Caenorhabditis elegans: one gene and its partners. The protein of the gene in region 2 interacts with the protein of the main gene of each other region in a biochemical or structural test. Each region holds a gene or a part of one and is shown on either strand. Other genes may lie near its edges.

Evidence for each region.
Region 1: the proteins of ufd-2 (region 2) and atx-3 form a complex in vitro, tested with the Caenorhabditis elegans proteins (one study listed by BioGRID).
Region 3: the proteins of ufd-2 (region 2) and cdc-48.1 form a complex in vitro, tested with the Caenorhabditis elegans proteins (one study listed by BioGRID).

What each region holds. Positions count from the first base shown.
Region 1 is NC_003283.11:15,574,895-15,579,212, reverse strand, and holds atx-3 (Ataxin-3 homolog), read left to right. Parts: upstream 1-1,769; 5' UTR 1,770-1,886; intron 1,887-2,325; 5' UTR 2,326-2,334; coding exon 2,335-2,502; intron 2,503-2,550; coding exon 2,551-2,696; intron 2,697-2,746; coding exon 2,747-2,901; intron 2,902-3,046; coding exon 3,047-3,531; 3' UTR 3,532-3,715; downstream 3,716-4,318. Other genes in the region: F28F8.7 (ELM2 domain-containing protein), read left to right, coding at 1-120; F28F8.9 (uncharacterized protein), read left to right, coding at 727-756, 808-993, 1,056-1,134, 1,181-1,302, 1,405-1,560; Coiled-coil domain-containing protein mdt-28, read left to right, coding at 3,817-3,874, 4,139-4,318. UniProt on the Caenorhabditis elegans protein: Acts as a chain editing deubiquitinating enzyme that binds and cleaves 'Lys-48'-linked polyubiquitin chains, with a preference for chains containing four or more ubiquitin molecules thereby modulating protein degradation by the ubiquitin-proteasome pathway.
Region 2 is NC_003280.10:8,060,894-8,066,788, forward strand, and holds ufd-2 (Ubiquitin conjugation factor E4 ufd-2), read left to right. Parts: upstream 1-1,847; 5' UTR 1,848-1,858; coding exon 1,859-1,915; intron 1,916-1,957; coding exon 1,958-2,284; intron 2,285-2,329; coding exon 2,330-3,251; intron 3,252-3,301; coding exon 3,302-4,211; intron 4,212-4,259; coding exon 4,260-4,614; intron 4,615-4,666; coding exon 4,667-5,050; 3' UTR 5,051-5,300; downstream 5,301-5,895. Other genes in the region: T05H10.8 (peroxiredoxin-like family protein), read left to right, coding at 183-386, 431-571; pdha-1 (Pyruvate dehydrogenase E1 component subunit alpha), read left to right, coding at 5,407-5,420, 5,552-5,895. UniProt on the Caenorhabditis elegans protein: Acts as an E4 ubiquitin ligase mediating the assembly of polyubiquitin chains on substrates ubiquitinated by another E3 ubiquitin ligase. The elongation of preexisting ubiquitin chains preferentially targets ubiquitin 'Lys-29' and 'Lys-48' residues.
Region 3 is NC_003280.10:10,559,405-10,565,302, forward strand, and holds cdc-48.1 (Transitional endoplasmic reticulum ATPase homolog 1), read right to left. Parts: upstream 4,004-5,898; 5' UTR 3,987-4,003; coding exon 3,789-3,986; intron 3,661-3,788; exon of another isoform or gene 3,548-3,660; intron 3,511-3,547; coding exon 2,683-3,510; intron 2,637-2,682; coding exon 1,564-2,636; intron 1,531-1,563; exon of another isoform or gene 1,313-1,530; intron 1,309-1,312; coding exon 1,114-1,308; intron 1,065-1,113; coding exon 929-1,064; 3' UTR 627-928; downstream 1-626. Other genes in the region: C06A1.6 (uncharacterized protein), read right to left, coding at 4,771-5,163, 5,207-5,272; C06A1.7 (uncharacterized protein), read left to right, coding at 5,508-5,558, 5,605-5,898. UniProt on the Caenorhabditis elegans protein: ATP-dependent chaperone which probably uses the energy provided by ATP hydrolysis to generate mechanical force to unfold substrate proteins, disassemble protein complexes, and disaggregate protein aggregates.

The DNA of each region.
Region 1 (4,318 bases), on a different chromosome or scaffold from region 2:
GGTTATCAAAATGGACATCACATGATCGTTGAAGTTTGCCCAGGAGTAGCGGAAAAGCTCAAGACGATGATTGTTTCGGTGAAAAATTCGAAAAATTTCGAACGAGTTCAAAGACCATAAATCACATATCCTATTGCATTTTTTTCGGTTTAAAGTTACTTTGAAGGCGCAAACGTTATCAAAAGACGAAGATTTTATGAAAAAATTTTAAAAATAAATAAAATAAAAATATTTTCGAAATTCAGCAAAAAATAATGATGCAAAAATAAACCATTCGCTACGAGACCCATCGAATTGCAATGACGCTTGCGCCTTTGAAGTAACTGTATGTTTCCCTTATTTTTTTTAATTCCAAATCCCTGTACTTTGACTATAAATTTTTGTTGTTTTCTTACTTTGCACATTTCTCAATTCCCGAAGTTATTTCGACATTTTTAATTGCTTTCCCTTTTTTAAATTTAAACATTCCCCCGGTTCTCACTTACAAAAGTGATATTCTGTTGATATTCTTGTTTCTCGTTTCATAATGCTGGTTGAATTATCCAAAAACTCAACTTATACTTCAGTTTTCAGTTGAAAATATTGTTTTCTTTACCCAAATCGAGAGATTTCAGGTTTAATATTCGAATTAACCGCTAAAATTTGCTTGTGTAGATTTACGCTAAACAAGGCTCCGGCGCAACATTGGAGTGACGTCGGCAAATTTCTTCAGCGAAATTTTTTTTAATGGAAATAGATGAATTTTCTTGTCAACTTGTTCGTTTTGCCCCAGATTTCCTTCTTTACGCTTTAAATGACTTATTTCAGCTAAAAAAAATGGCCCGCTACCTTCTCGGCGCCACAATGTACGTGGAAGACGTGCTTCGAAGAGACGATTGGAGTTTAGAAGAAACAGAAAATGTGAAAAAATACTTCAAAAATGTGAAAAGCTTCAAAATTCCGAAGATTGAGAAACGAAAAGCCGAGGAATTTGATGAGCCATGCAGAAAGAGAGTAAGAATTTATTTTTCAACAGTTTTTTTCTATTTTTTACATATTTTTCAGTCAATTTGCAGTGCCGAGTCGAGAAGGAGAAGTTCGAAAATGATTTGCAGGCTGGCATCCGATTAATGACACTATTTGCAGGATTTGAAGGTAGAAAATTGAATTTTTCATTCATTTCCATATTTATTTGGCTTAGAAATCGACGAAAAAGCGCTGGAAAGGCTCACAGATTTGGCAAAACTTCGAATAATCACATCAGCAAGACAGATGGCGATTGCTCAGCGGAGACGGAAAGATGGCTTCGAAATTCCTTTTAAAGTAATATAAAAATTTAAAATTGAAGATTTTCTACAAAAAATGACACGTTGTATAAATTATTTCTCAATTTTTTACCAAAAATTATATCAAAAATCGTTACAGAGCCCCGTGGAATGGACGTTGAAGCTACAAGGCGTTCAAAAAGTTCTCGACATCAAAGAATGGTATGACGTCACGTATTGGACGAGATTTCGCGCATTGAAGATGCAATTAATCGACGAAAACGGAGACTTGAAGTCGCCGAAAAACCAGAACTAATTCTAATTTCATGTGACATATTTATTAACTTATTTATTGATTTTCTTCTGTGAATTTTGCATAAAACTAGCCAATTTCTCTCGATTTCATTGTAAAATGTCGTATATTTTTTCGAGGTTGTGTTTAAGCCTTATTATATTTACGATACGATTTTTATGACTTTTTCAATTTCAGAACAATATTCTGCAGAATACTTTGACTTTTTTCAGCTCCAAAACATACCGAAATTCTTATTTCAAGCTGAAATTCTCGAAAACCTTTTGAATAAAGTCAATAAAACGTAGAATAAACAACACGCGGTGTCGTTATTTCGGAGCATCGTTGAGGTTTTTTAATTTCGTTTTTTTTTCGATTTCATCAAATTTCACATTTTTCGTAGGTTGTCAAACGAAATTGGTTATTTTTGTTGAAAAACAAGTTATAAATTGACGTAATTTTATTAAAATAAGTTTATCCTGTAAAAATTCTAACAATATATCCGATGGTTTTGCAGTTTTGTGCTGGAGTTCCATGGAAAACATTAGAAGTCGTGTTGTTTTTTTCGAAAAATAACAGCTTGTTAACAATTCTTCGCGAATTTTCCTATAAAATCTCAATTTTTTTTTTAAACCTATCCGTCTTACAAAAAATATCGATTTTGGCATTCAGCATGAGGAATATTATTGTGAAATCGAAAAAATAAAACTATTTCCAAGTTTTCTTCTCCAAAATTTGAGGTGTTTTATTTATTTTCTCCATTCGTTTCCCTAATCCAAATTTTTCCAGCTCCAAAAAATGTCAAAAGACGATCCGATCAACTCCATCTTCTTCGAGCACCAGGAAGCTGCTCTTTGTGCTCAACACGCGCTGAATATGCTCCTACAAGATGCTCTGTACAAGTGGCAAGATCTCCGAGACTTGGCCATTCAGATGGATAAAATGGAACAACAAATTCTGGGAAATGTAATGGAAAATACGAAAAAATTTTAATTGAAATTCTTGATTTTTCAGGCAAACCCAACTCCGGGACGAAGTGAGAACATGAACGAAAGCGGCTACTTTTCAATTCAAGTTTTGGAGAAAGCACTTGAAACATTTAGCCTCAAGCTCACAAATATCGAAAATCCTGCGATGGTGGACTATAAAAATAATCCCTTGTACGAGTTACCATATAATTTACAAAAAAATTTCATAATTTCCAATTCAGAACCGCCCGTGCTTACATATGCAACCTCAGAGAGCACTGGTTTGTGCTCCGAAAATTCGGAAATCAATGGTTCGAGCTGAATTCGGTGAACCGTGGGCCCAAATTGCTCTCTGACACTTATGTTAGCATGTTCTTGCATCAAGTGTCGTCGGAAGGTATAAATTCATGAATTTTGAAGCTAAATTTTGATAATTAGAGCCAGATTTTTATTTATCCCTAAACTACAAGCTGTAGCGTTGATTTTTTTTTCTGAAAAAAAGTTCCAAAAATCGAAAATTATTTTAATTTATCAATTTTCAGGTTATTCAATCTTCGTGGTGCAGGGAGTTTTGCCAAGATCCGATGCAGACGATCTCATCTCGCTATGCCCAGTTGTACCGCCAAAAGTTACACCGAAAAAGGAGCAGAAGCTGGAGAAAGTCATGACAAAATTCTTCAATACCGTCGGAAAACGACTTGGCGGTGGAAGCGGTGCTCCTCCGGATTCTCAAGAAGAAAAAGATTTGGCGATAGCTTTTGCAATGTCTATGGAAACAAAGGATGGCTCTGAAGTGTCTCGAAGTTCCGCTGAAATCGATGAAGAAAATCTCAGAAAGGCGATTGAGCTGAGCCAGGCTCCAGGACCATCAGAACCGGCTGAGATACCGCTATTGACTCGTTCTCGATCTTCGACGCCGCCAGGAGCTTCAGAACCTTTTTCAAATGCCGAACAACAGCGCAGAGATCGACAAAAGTTTTTGGAGCGATTCGAAAAGAAGAAAGAAGAGAGGAACGATGAAAAATAACGATTTAATCGTAAATTTATTATTTGAATTCTATTATGTGAATATATTCTCGGCTTTTCCTGTATAATTCGATTATTCATTTCTCCCGATACTTGTATCCCCAAATACTTGGTGCTTATGTATGAACCGCTTTCAGACTATGTGATATATTATTTAGAATTAGATGAAATCTCCTTTTTTTCTGAATTTTGTTGCCCTTTTCAAAGTTATTCTGGCATTCCATGAGTATTACTACCTTCAATTTTAGAGTTTTTGGAAAAAATAATCATTTTTTTTAGATTGAAAATGTTCGAGGAATTGGATGCAGAGGACGGCGGAGAAGAACAGGAAATGCCAATGAATGGTGATTTTTGAAAATTCAAGAAATTTTTCGAATTCGAGCTTAAGCTAGTGCTCCACGAGGAGTAGGATTTCCCAGTTTTTTTACTCAAAAGAAGAAAATGGCAATATCTTAAGCTATTTTAATACAAAATTTGATAAAAATTGAATTTTTTTGTTAATTTTCTGATCATTTTTTCCCGATTTTCTCTGAAAAAAAAAACTTTAAAAAATTATTTGATGGCACCCTTGAGCCGAAATAATAAAAATATTTTACAAAATCTAATAGTTCCAGAATTCGGCGGCGGCGGTGAGGACATTGACGATATTCTCGGCGATGCTCCGGATCTTCCAGACGACGAATACTCGAATAGTGTTCCACAAGGAGCCGCTGATGGATCCATTGAAAACGACGAAAGACGAATGAGAAATGATGGAGCCGGCTCAACGAACGAGGATGACGAAGAGC
Region 2 (5,895 bases):
AACATTCACATCAAAATTTCAAGCTTCAAGATCAAGATTGGAAAAGAGTTTGTTGAAAGTAACAGTTTGTCGGAAATTCAAACAAATTTTTATTCTTTGGCGAACGTTGAGCAAAAAAGTTGATATCAAATTGCAACGTGGGAAGGATAAGCAATCATTGTGTATAAATTGGAAATTTTCAGGTTGTGGAAGCCTCTCTCGTCGAAGGAGATTCAATTGTTGCGAAAGAAGCATCAAGCTCAGAAGACTCAGTTTCTTACATTTCTCAAAAAGGTGGTACTGTACTTGTGGATAAATCAGGAGAAATTCTTTACAAGCACATTGAAGACGATAAATCAGATTCATGGCCAGATATTGATGAAATAGTAAAACTGGTTGAAGCAAGGGTATGCTTTTTTATTTTTAAAACTCTCTTAACAAACTTCTCCAGAACGCCAAATACTTGGAGAGCACTAATAATTCTACAATATCAATTCCGAAAGGTGGAAATCTGGCAAAAGTGAATTCGGAAATTTCTGTAACAAAGGAACTGGCGACGGACAAAAAGAAACCGTGTTGCGTAATTAGTTAAATATCTAGACTACATTTACATTAAAACCATACATGTTATCTTGGCTGATCTCATTATTAATTCATTATTTTAATATTAGATTATTTAACTATGAAATAACATAAACATTAATTTATTTTCAATTTGTTCCAATGTGGAACTTCCAAAAAAAAAACACTCGAATTTAATGTGGTTGTTATTTTACAGTGAAAAAAGATGTTCGGATGCTTTGATTTCTTTTGGTTGAAGATTTTCAGACTCGTTTATTAAACTTTTACTGTATTCTTGGAATAAAAAAGTTCAATTTATTTTCAATTTTCAATCAATTTAAAAATCTATCATCTGAAGAATAAAACACAACACTATTACATAGAAGTTTCAAGGCAAACCATATATGGCCATATGAATTTTTTTGATCGTTTCAATAGTTTTCTAAAAGTACAATAATCCACGGTAATCCTACAGTACCCTGGCCATATCCCGGAATATTTACGATTGCATCAGAGTAGCAACAAACGTGTGTATTGATTGATTTTTTATCGTATTGAAGGACATCTGCTGGTGGACCAGGTACCCGCCTATAAATGTCTAGAATTGGGTGAGTCTCACAATGACGTCCCTCGGGTCTCAATTGTACACAATCGATTGTTGAGTTGCGCTACTGTTTTCCTCTTGAAACTATAGTTAACTAAACGATTTTTATTGAAAGTGAGGTTTATTCTCGTTTAAAAAAAACAATATTTATTAAAGAATAAAATTTTGTAAAATCAAAAATGTGCGTTCCATCCACAGTCTCGTTCATTTATATACTTTTTTGTTGCTTAATTTATCTGCCCCTTCAAATTCTTATTGCTCTAAAAATATTCAAATTAAGTGGTGTCTGAAAATAGAATCATAAAGATACAATATTTAACACTCGTTCTTCCGAATTCAGTTTTCTACCGATGTTTCTCTCCTGCAAAAATGTGGTGTCTCGGTAGTGCAGCAAACGCGCTCCACTGCATGTTCATTGAGAGGCCGAAATGTCAGCGTCTTTGCAGCTGCATTGCTCCTTCGATTTTTCTATCTCTTGCGCGCGCGGTGCAAATGTCTTCCTACAGTTTTTGCTCTCGAAAATAATTTTATGTTTTCCTCTATACACAATTCTAGTCCAATATTGTTTTCATACAATCCTCTGCGTTTAATTTTTCCGTCTCATAAATGTTCCCATTACCGTAAAATATTTGTTATCAGACCTCTCACCATTCTCTTTATCGTTACTCTACTTATCAAAATCACGTGATCATCACGAATTTCCAGAAATCGTAGATGATTGAAGACGAGAAAGCAGGCTTGCAGCCGATGGACATAAGTGATGCTTCTGTGGTGCGTTTTTGCCTGACATTTTATATACTCATAGGCGATTAGTTCTTTTTTCAGGCAGATGTTGAAAGCAAAGACTTCCTCACAAGTCTCTTTGACTGTGAAGGTAAATCAGATGACAGAATGCTTCGTTACGCCGATGCGATAATCGATGTTCAAAATCTGAATTTTGATGTTTCTCCTCAGTGTCTGCAATCGAACATTGCCGAAATAATCACAAAGTTTGTACTTTTATCTCAAGATGGATCAAGAAGGGGGCTGTCAAGATCGTTCAATTTCATCGACCCTGATATCATTGCTGGATGTCGTGAAGAAGACGCCATCGAGTTTCTCTTAATCAATTTTGTTCGTTGCCATCATGAGCTTGGAAAGGTACTCTATCTAATATAGTTCTATTTTTAATTTAACAATTTTCAGAGCGGTACTTCAAATTGCTACAAGAAAACTCTCGAATCTACCAGGAAAGCAGTTTTCTCAGTTTTTGTGATGATACAGAGAGGCTACTTGGAGAGCCAACTTCGCAGCCAACATGCTAGTTTGGTGTTCACAAAAAGACTTCTGGAGGATACGGTGTCAAATGTTTTTCTAAGAACATTGGTTGAATACCTTGCAAGTACAGATGAATGCGATGAAGACGCTATTACAGAAACATTTAATCCAATTTTCGGGATTTTGCGGAGCGGAATTATTTGTCAACGCTTTGAAGACAATAAGGACGAAATTGTTCGTCAGATCCTTCGTGTGATGAACTTGCTTCTCAGTATCAGACTCCCTTCAAACGGACCTCGCCCACTGAGTAACCTACTTGTTAATCGAGAAGATTTTCTCCCAACGCCGTCCGAAAAAATACAAGGACGCGAGTTTGGTTTAATGTCCTTCCTAGGACCGTTCTTTTCGTACGGCCTCGAATCATCAGCAAGGCGTCCAAATCATCGAGTTTTTGTGGATTGTGAAGAAGATGCAAGAAAATATGATGGATCAGTCAACACTGAGCAGAAACTGTATTTCCAAAGAATGGATCCAATTCGAACTATGCTTCATCAATTGATGCTTCCGCTTGCTTCGGATCAAGGAAGTCGCAACAAAACTCTAAGATGGATTGCCACCATCATAAGCACCAATGACATTCGCACTCGTTCACATTATGATCCTTCAGATGTCTTGTGTGATCATTATATGACAAATTTTTTGTCCGTGATGTACATGTTTTCCGAGAAAATCGACTTGTCCAAAATTATCGTAGATTATCCGTTTTTACCGAGTTCGCTTATAAATATTTCCAAGGAGACTCGTCTCAAAATGGACGAATCAGGAGCAGTCGCTTTTGCTAGCCAATTCGGTAAGTTTCATTTTTCTTTCTCAAAAAATTAACTTGTTTTCTTTTTCCAGCAGATCGTCCAGATGAATATCATTTCTCTACAGTCTGCTTCTTCCTGACAATTGCAGCACAGAGGCTCGTTATTCCTCCATTGATGAATCAAATAAGTGAATACTCTCGACACCTTAAGGAGCTCAAGCATAAGATCAATGCGCTCAAAGAAAAACTAAATACTGTGTCAGGATTCGAGAGAGCTGAGGTGGAAAAGAAGTTGAACTATGAGACTGAACACTGGAAGCTCATGTCTCGTCATCTTTTATGTGTTAAGACACAAGCTCAAGATCCTGCATTAATGGCATCTTCTATGGATTTTGTCGATAAGCAGATGAAATTCATTTTGAATTTGCTTTGTGATAACTTGGATTTGCTCGGAGACGACAGTCAACTTCCAACTGAAGTATCACAAATGTTTTGTGCGCTCCCAGAATATTTTCTAGAGGATGCTCTCGATTTTTACATATTCGCTATTTCCAATGGAATGAAACTGCTCATGGAGAGAAATGCGGATTGGATTTCCCGTCTGACGGTCCTTTTCACACAATATCACTACATCAAAAGCCCATTTCTCGTTTCCAAACTGGTGAGAGTGCTGTCTTCTATTCAACCTCCATTATGGTTCAACGTGGTCAGACTTCGAATGGCACAAGAAAATTTATTGATGTGCATGATAAAGTTCTACTCGGATTTCGAAGACAATGGTGACTTTTATGAAAAGTTTAACGTTCGTGGAAATATCCAGTACATGTTGGAAAAAATGGAGGAAGATATGTTCTACAAAGGAAAGTTTATGGACATGGCAAGAGAATGCGGAGCAGAGTTCATTCGGTTTGTCAATATGGTGATTAACGATGCAACATGGTGTATAGATGAGAGCTTGTCTGGTTTGAAGAGTATCCATGATGTTGAGAAAAAGATGGCGAAGTAAGACTATTTCGAATGATAACTTAAAAATATAAATTTTATTTTCAGCAAAGTCGAATGGGACAACACAGATCAAGAAATCCGTAATCAGGATCTCGGCGTGTACGAGGAGGCAAAACGTAAAGTGAAGGGATGGCTTGGAACAGCCAAAAGTAATCTTAAATTGCTACTATCGATTACCGTAAACTCACCCGAACCTTTCCGTACTCCGGTTCTCGGCGAAAGACTTGCTGCAATGTTGAATCACAATTTATCGCAACTCATTGGTAGCAAGGCCTCCGAGTTGAAAGTCAAGGATCCAAGAAGTTATGGATGGGAACCACGGGAGTTTGTATCGTTGCTGATCTCAATCTATTTAAAGCTGAATATGCCTGCATTTGTTAAATACATAGCATACGACGAGGTTGGTTAACACATTTGTTTATTCAAAGAGATTTATTTTAATTATTTTTCAGCGTACCTACAGTCCTGAATTCTTCCATAATGCGATTGAATGCATGAGAAAGAATAGTATTGTTGGATTCAGTCAACTCGAAAGTTTCGAACATTTGGCCGAAGATGTTAAAAAAGAGTATGAGGCAAAAGCTGAGCTTGAAGAAGAGTATGATGATGTACCAGAAGAGTTCAAGGATCCTATTATGGATGCAATTATGGTTGATCCTGTCAAATTGCCATCAGGACACGTGATGGATCGTGCAGTCATCGAGAGGCATCTTCTCAGTACACCCAATAATCCGTTTAATCGTGCTCCCTTGTCGCACAATGAGCTTTCTCCCGATTCTGAGTTGAAGGCAAAGATTCAGGAATGGATTTGCCAGAAAAGAAATTCAAAGAAATAATTTTCTATCATATTCTATTGTTACCCAATTTTGTATTTATTGTACTTGACCATTGCACATGTGCAAAATGTCTGTAAATTTCACGCGTTCCTTTCATTTTATAAGTTTTTCTGGTCTCTCAATGGTCTAATCTTTCGGTTTCGGTTTCATTTTCTGCATGGATTCCTTAAAGTTGGTATTCTTGCCCTCTTTCATCAAACCTAAAAAACACGAGTAGTGCCTTGAATGTGAATAAATTTATACTAATTTACTTATTTTCTAAATTTTGGCTTCTATTGCGGTCTCCGATCCGCATACTTATATTTTTATTCTTTGTGAATTTCTTCACATATTCTGATTTTAGCCTTGAACCTGGAATGACTAAATTTCTGTAGGTTTATAACGAACGGTGTCGTATTGTTTTGTGATTTGTTACATGTCAATAACTTATAATATTTATACGTTCCCAGTCATCCCAAATCCGATTAATTTTTATTTTTGAAATATATTTACTGCTTTCAGTAGCTTGGTACATCTGGAACGTATTTGGTCGACGGCAATGTCTTTATTCGCGAGACAACTTCAATCCTTGACTGCCAGTGGAATCCGCACACAGCAAGTTCGTCTTGCGAGCACGGAAGTATCATTCCACACAAAGCCATGCAAACTTCATAAACTTGACAATGGACCAAACACCTCTGTCACCTTGAACAGAGAAGATGCTCTCAAGTACTACCGTGACATGCAGGTCATTCGTCGCATGGAGTCTGCTGCTGGAAACTTGTACAAGGAGAAGAAAATCCGCGGTTTCTGTCATCTCTACTCTGGTCAAGAAGCTTGTGCCGTCGGAATGAAGGCTGCAATGA
Region 3 (5,898 bases), 2.5 Mb from region 2:
AATAAATAGTAGAAATGCGACTTTCAGGCATGAAAAACCAATTTTTCTAGAAAAAAAAAACAAAAGCACTGTAGTGTGAATTTGTTCGTGACGGTGTTTCTTACAAAAATGTGCATATTTGCGGCAAATTTTGTGTTTTCAGATATTTTTAAGAATTTGAAAACTATTGGCACTTATCAGTTACTATCAATATTAATATCTGATCTAAAAGATTCATGTGACAGACAACGAGGACAAGGAATTTTTGAAAATTGGCCAGAAACGAGTTCAACAAGCTTGAAGATAAGCAACTATAGTACTCAATTCGGCATTTTCTTTGTTAAAAACCTCATGACTATGTACGAAATGCGTGCACTCCTATGAGTGTGGAGACAATATCGATGGAAAATGATATCAATGAATGAAAAAGCACTTCTACTTTCCAAAAGATCAAGAACAACTGGATCGCTAAATAGGTTTGATGATTGATATTAAAACCTGGTCCAAAAAATTACGTTAAACTTAGGCAACTTATCTTAAATACAGCTTCCCATTATCAACGGAACAACCAGTCATTGGTCATGAGACAATTCCACCTACACAATCACAAATAATAGTTTGAATATGGCAACACAATCGTACACAATTATGATTACAGACATCGTACATTTATATGTCAAAAACGGCAATACATACAAAACATTGGGAGGGATGCAAAAAAATAAATGGGATATACTTTTTGATCAACTGGGATGTAGGTATCTACAAATTTTTTCTTCTCGCGAAGATCATCCGTAACCATTAATTTCTAAAGCGAAAACATGGGCTCAATTACAATAAATAGTGGTAAATCGGGGGTTGGAAAGGGGTGAAATACGAGGTGAAAAAGTGGGTATGGGAGAAAATAAAACGAGTATCATACATAGACTCAGTAGATAAACTCAATACATTAGTTATAAAGGTCGTCATCATCCTGAGCAGGTACAGGGGCAGATGGGGCATCGCTTCCGCGTTGTTCTCCTGGGAATTTGAAGTTGTTTCCAAAGCCACGAGATTGTTGCAATGTTTGTGCAAACATTTCGTACCTACAAACATATTTTATAGACATACAATAAAACCATTATCAAAACTCACTTTCTGATGTCATTGTCTGTAACAGAGCGTCTGGCAAACTTCATGGCTTCCTCGAAGTGAGCACGAGTAATTTCTGGTACTGGATCAACTGCATCGTCTTCCATGAGCTCCTCACCGCGAGCTTGGCGATCTTGACGTTCCTTCTCAATCCGAATTTCCTTTTCGATCGATTCGCGAATAGCCAGCTTACACGCTCTGAAAATGTCATCGTTCACACCAGGAAAAATAGAATATCGGGGCCTTAGCGCGACTTTAGATACTCTAACTATTATAATTTACTGTGAGACGATTTTTTATATAGCACAAATATGACACTCGCGTAACCATGAACACAAAACTTGGCAGAATCTGAACTGCAAAACGCAGCTAAGAAGAGCCAAGAATGTGTAGATTTCGCAAGTTCTTAAGTTGTGCGTTTTGAACAAATTTTCAAATAATTAAATTACTCACCTCTGACAAATTTCGGTCAAATCGGCTCCAGAGAATCCAACAGTGTTTTTGGCCAAGAAGGTCAAGTCAAGATCCTTGGAGAGTGGGGTTTTACGAAGAGAAGCTTTCAAAATTTGGTGCCGAGAAGCTTCGTCTGGGAGTGGGATGTAGATAAGCTGATCAAGGCGACCTGGACGAAGAACAGCTGGATCAATGATATCAGGTCTGTTTGTAGCTCCGATGATGAACACATTTTTCTTCGCGTTCATTCCATCCATTTCGGTGAGCACTTGATTGATTACACGATCCGATGCACCTCCTCCATCACCGCCGGCGCCTCCACCTCTTGCCTTGGCAATCGAATCCAACTCATCGAAGAACAACACGCAAGGAGCAGCTGCACGAGCCTTGTCGAAGACATCACGGACGTTAGCTTCCGATTCTCCGAACCACATTGTGAGCAATTCTGGACCCTTGATGGAGATGAAATTGGCTTGACACTCGTTGGCAATTGCCTTGGCAAGAAGTGTCTTACCACATCCTGGTGGCCCATAGAACAAAACTCCTCTTGATGGCTGCATTCCAAACTTGAGATATTTTTCTGGGTGTTCCACTGGATACTGAACCAATTCTTGAAGTTCGCGCTTGACGTTTTGAAGACCTCCAATGTCGGACCAAGTTGTATTCGGAGTTTCGACAACAGCCTCGCGGAGAGCGGATGGGGAAGACTTTCCTTGAGCAAAACGGAAGTTTTCCATTGTGACAGCGAGTGAATTAAGAACCTCTGCATCAATTTGGTCATCTTCGAGATCAATGAGCTCCATCTTTTCACGAATCTGTTGAAGAGCGGCTTCCGAGCACAACGATGCCAAATCGGCACCAACGAATCCGTGACATTCATTTGCAATTTGTTCAAGATCAACATCATCCGCGAGCTTCATGTTTTTCGTGTGAATGCGCAGAATCTCAAGCCGGCCGACTGCATCTGGAATTCCGATATCGATTTCACGATCGAATCTTCCGAAGCGACGAAGAGCACCGTCAATCGAGTTTGGACGATTTGTTGCAGCAATGACCACAAGGTTAGAACGACCCTAAAATAATTATTATTATCGAATCATATAAAATTTAAAAGCATACCTTGACTCCATCCATAAGTGTAAGCAATTGAGAAACAATTCTGCGCTCAACTTCTCCATTGGTCTTCTCGCGTTTTGGTGCAATGGCGTCAATTTCGTCAATAAACAGAATAGCTGGTTGATTCTTCTCGCATTCTTCGAAAGCCTTACGAAGATTTGACTCGGATTCTCCAGACATCTTTGACATTACTTCAGGTCCGTTGATAAGGAAGAAGAAAGATCCGGTTTCATTAGCAACAGCACGTGCAATAAGAGTCTTTCCTGTGCCAGGTGGACCGAAGAGAAGAATTCCACGTGGTGGCTTGATACCAATAGCCTTGAAAAGTTGGGGATGTCGAAGTGGCAGTTCAACCATTTCCTTGATCTGAGCCAATTGCTTCCGAACTCCTCCCAAGTCATCATAACCAATATCATTCATGCTCTCTTCTTCTTCTTCTCTCTTGATCGGATCTCCTTCGTAGTGAATCATGGTATCAGGTGACACAATGCAGGCTGGAGCTGGCTCAGTTTCGACAACTTTGAATTCCACAGTTCTCATGGCAGCTTGAACAGTGAATATATCTCCCTTGTGAAGTGGGCGGTAAGCCTCCAGGAAGTATGGCTTGAGGAAAACATCGAACAAGTTTCCAGTGAGTCCTTCGATAGTGTCATCAATAGGGAGCACGTGAATGCGGGTTCCGTAACTGAGATTTGGAGCTGGCGTAATGCTCACGACGTCTCCGAGGCGAATACGAAGATTGTTGCGGACAACACGGTTCATGCGAACTTTCTCGTTTGGACAGGACTCATCAGAGACAATGATGGCGACAGATTCCTTTCGCTTCTTTCCCTGCAAAAATAATCATTAGAATCGAAAAATAAAATTTAATTGTGTGACAACCGTTTAAAAATCGAGATCAGCACCTTTGCGTGGTGTTAGGATTACGAAATACTTTGAAACGATTCGTTACTTGATCTATATCGCACAACTATGACACTCATAAAACCATCAGCAAATAAACAGTACTAGCTTCAAAACAGAACGTTTTTCAGCCTATATTGTAAATCACAGACATTACAAGTTCTTAAATTGTGCGTTTTAATCAAAAATTAAAAAGAAACACATACCTTCAGGATGACAGCATCTCCACGGAAAAGTCCCAGTTCGTCCATTTTAGCTTGGGAAACTGCGATGACGGAATTATCATCCTGCTCGGACTGATCGACGATCAAGCGATTCGGCTTTACCTTGTCCTTGAGAATAGCTGTCGACAGCTCATCATTTTTCTTCTCTTTTTCGCTTTGATGCGTTGGAACCGAGGCCATTATGTACAATTTAAGACCTAAAATAAGAAGAATGAGTGTCCAAAATGATAGTGGGAACGAAACTATAAAAGAAAATTGAGATTTTAAAAAAGTTCACGAAATTATTTCTAAAAACGACACAGATTTGAAAATTGTCATCATCCACGCATATAGAAGCGTGTTTTCAACAAGTGTACGCAAAAAGTGTTTGGTGATTCTGACGTTAGGGCGCGGTTGCTTTATAATTTTAGCGCGAAGTTTGAAAAGGATTTTCACTGTTCAAAAAATTTTAAAATTTCTAAATAACGAGACGTATTTGTAAATATTTGCGATGAAAAGCGTTGAAACTTCAAAAAAGTTCTTTGAAAACGGAAACGCAGTTTACAATTTTTTGAAATTTTTCGGAAAAAAGGAACTAGTAAATAAAATCTACCGTTTGCACGTTTGCGGTAATGTATGTAGCTGGGTCCAGGATGAAAATATGAAAAGGAAAAAAAGTGGACTGTAATGTAATGCTGGTTTGGAAAAATAACTGTTATTTGCAATAACGCACATCAGCGTTTGGGTCTCGAAACGATATGCCGTTAGTAAATGCAGCACTTTGTAGATCGATAAAAATGATTTGCAGCATCACCCGATCGATAGACGGAGAACGAAGAGATGTGAAACGAGACGAGAGGAGAATAGTCTTAAGATTTTGATTCTTGATAGTTTCCCAGATCTATGAATTTAATAAGTTGAATAATTTCCAAATTATTTATTCCCGATCGAGAATTAGAATAAATTAAACAAATAGATTAATGGATTAACATTTGCCATTGGATGGTCTTCTTTTGATTCCAAGAGCACGATTAGCTTCATCAATTTGAAGTTTTTGAAGGGAACGACGTTTACGACCTCCACCTCCACATCCACAGCATCCGCATCCGCAACCACATCCACAACAGCATGGTCTACAGCAGGTACAACATCTAGTACAGCAACAAGTTCTACAACAAGTACAACAACATTTGGGTCTACAACAGCAGCAGCATCTTGGTCTGCAACAGCAACATCCACATCCACCACCACCTCCTCCACATCCACAACATCCACAACATCCTCCATTTCTTTTAACACGAGAAGATCCGATAATTGATGTTTCAGATGAAATTATAGATATTTCTGTTGTTGATACTGGCAAAACTCCTGATTCAACCTATAAGTTTCTTAAATACGAGAACTAAATCTATTAATCTAACCTGTGAAATCGATACAATTGTATAAATCAGTACAACTAATGTAGATCCAATTATGAATTTGGTCATTTTGATCGAATAGAAACTGATGAATATCTCAATTTTATGGTGCTTTTATATAACTTTTCCATGATCCAAAGTGTCTTAGTTTTTGTGTTCAATTTCCATGACGCGGCTCGCGCGGAGAGATCACAAAAAATGGTTTCCGGCAAAAGTGTCAAATGAGAGACGACAAACACGTAAGAAGAAGAGGGTATTTAATGGATGGAAATTCGAAAACCATATCGAACGCTAATAATCTGAAATGAATAAGATCGTACTTCTGACTCTCTTTGCCCTTATTGCTATTTCACAGGTATCGGTAAAGGTTCTAAATGTTAGAAAACACAATACTATTATAGGTTGAATCAGGAGTTTTGCCAGTATCAACAACAGAAATATCTATAATTTCATCTGAAACATCAATTATCGGATCTTCTCGTGTTAAAAGAAATGGAGGATGTTGTGGATGTTGTGGATGTGGAGGAGGTGGTGGTGGATGTGGATGTTGCTGCTGCAGACCAAGATGCTGCTGCTGTTGTAGACCCAAATGTTGTTGTACTTGTTGTAGAACTTGTTGCTGTACTAGATGTTGTACCTGCTGTAGACCATGCTGTTGTGGATGTGGTTGCGGATGCGGATGCTGTGGATGTGGA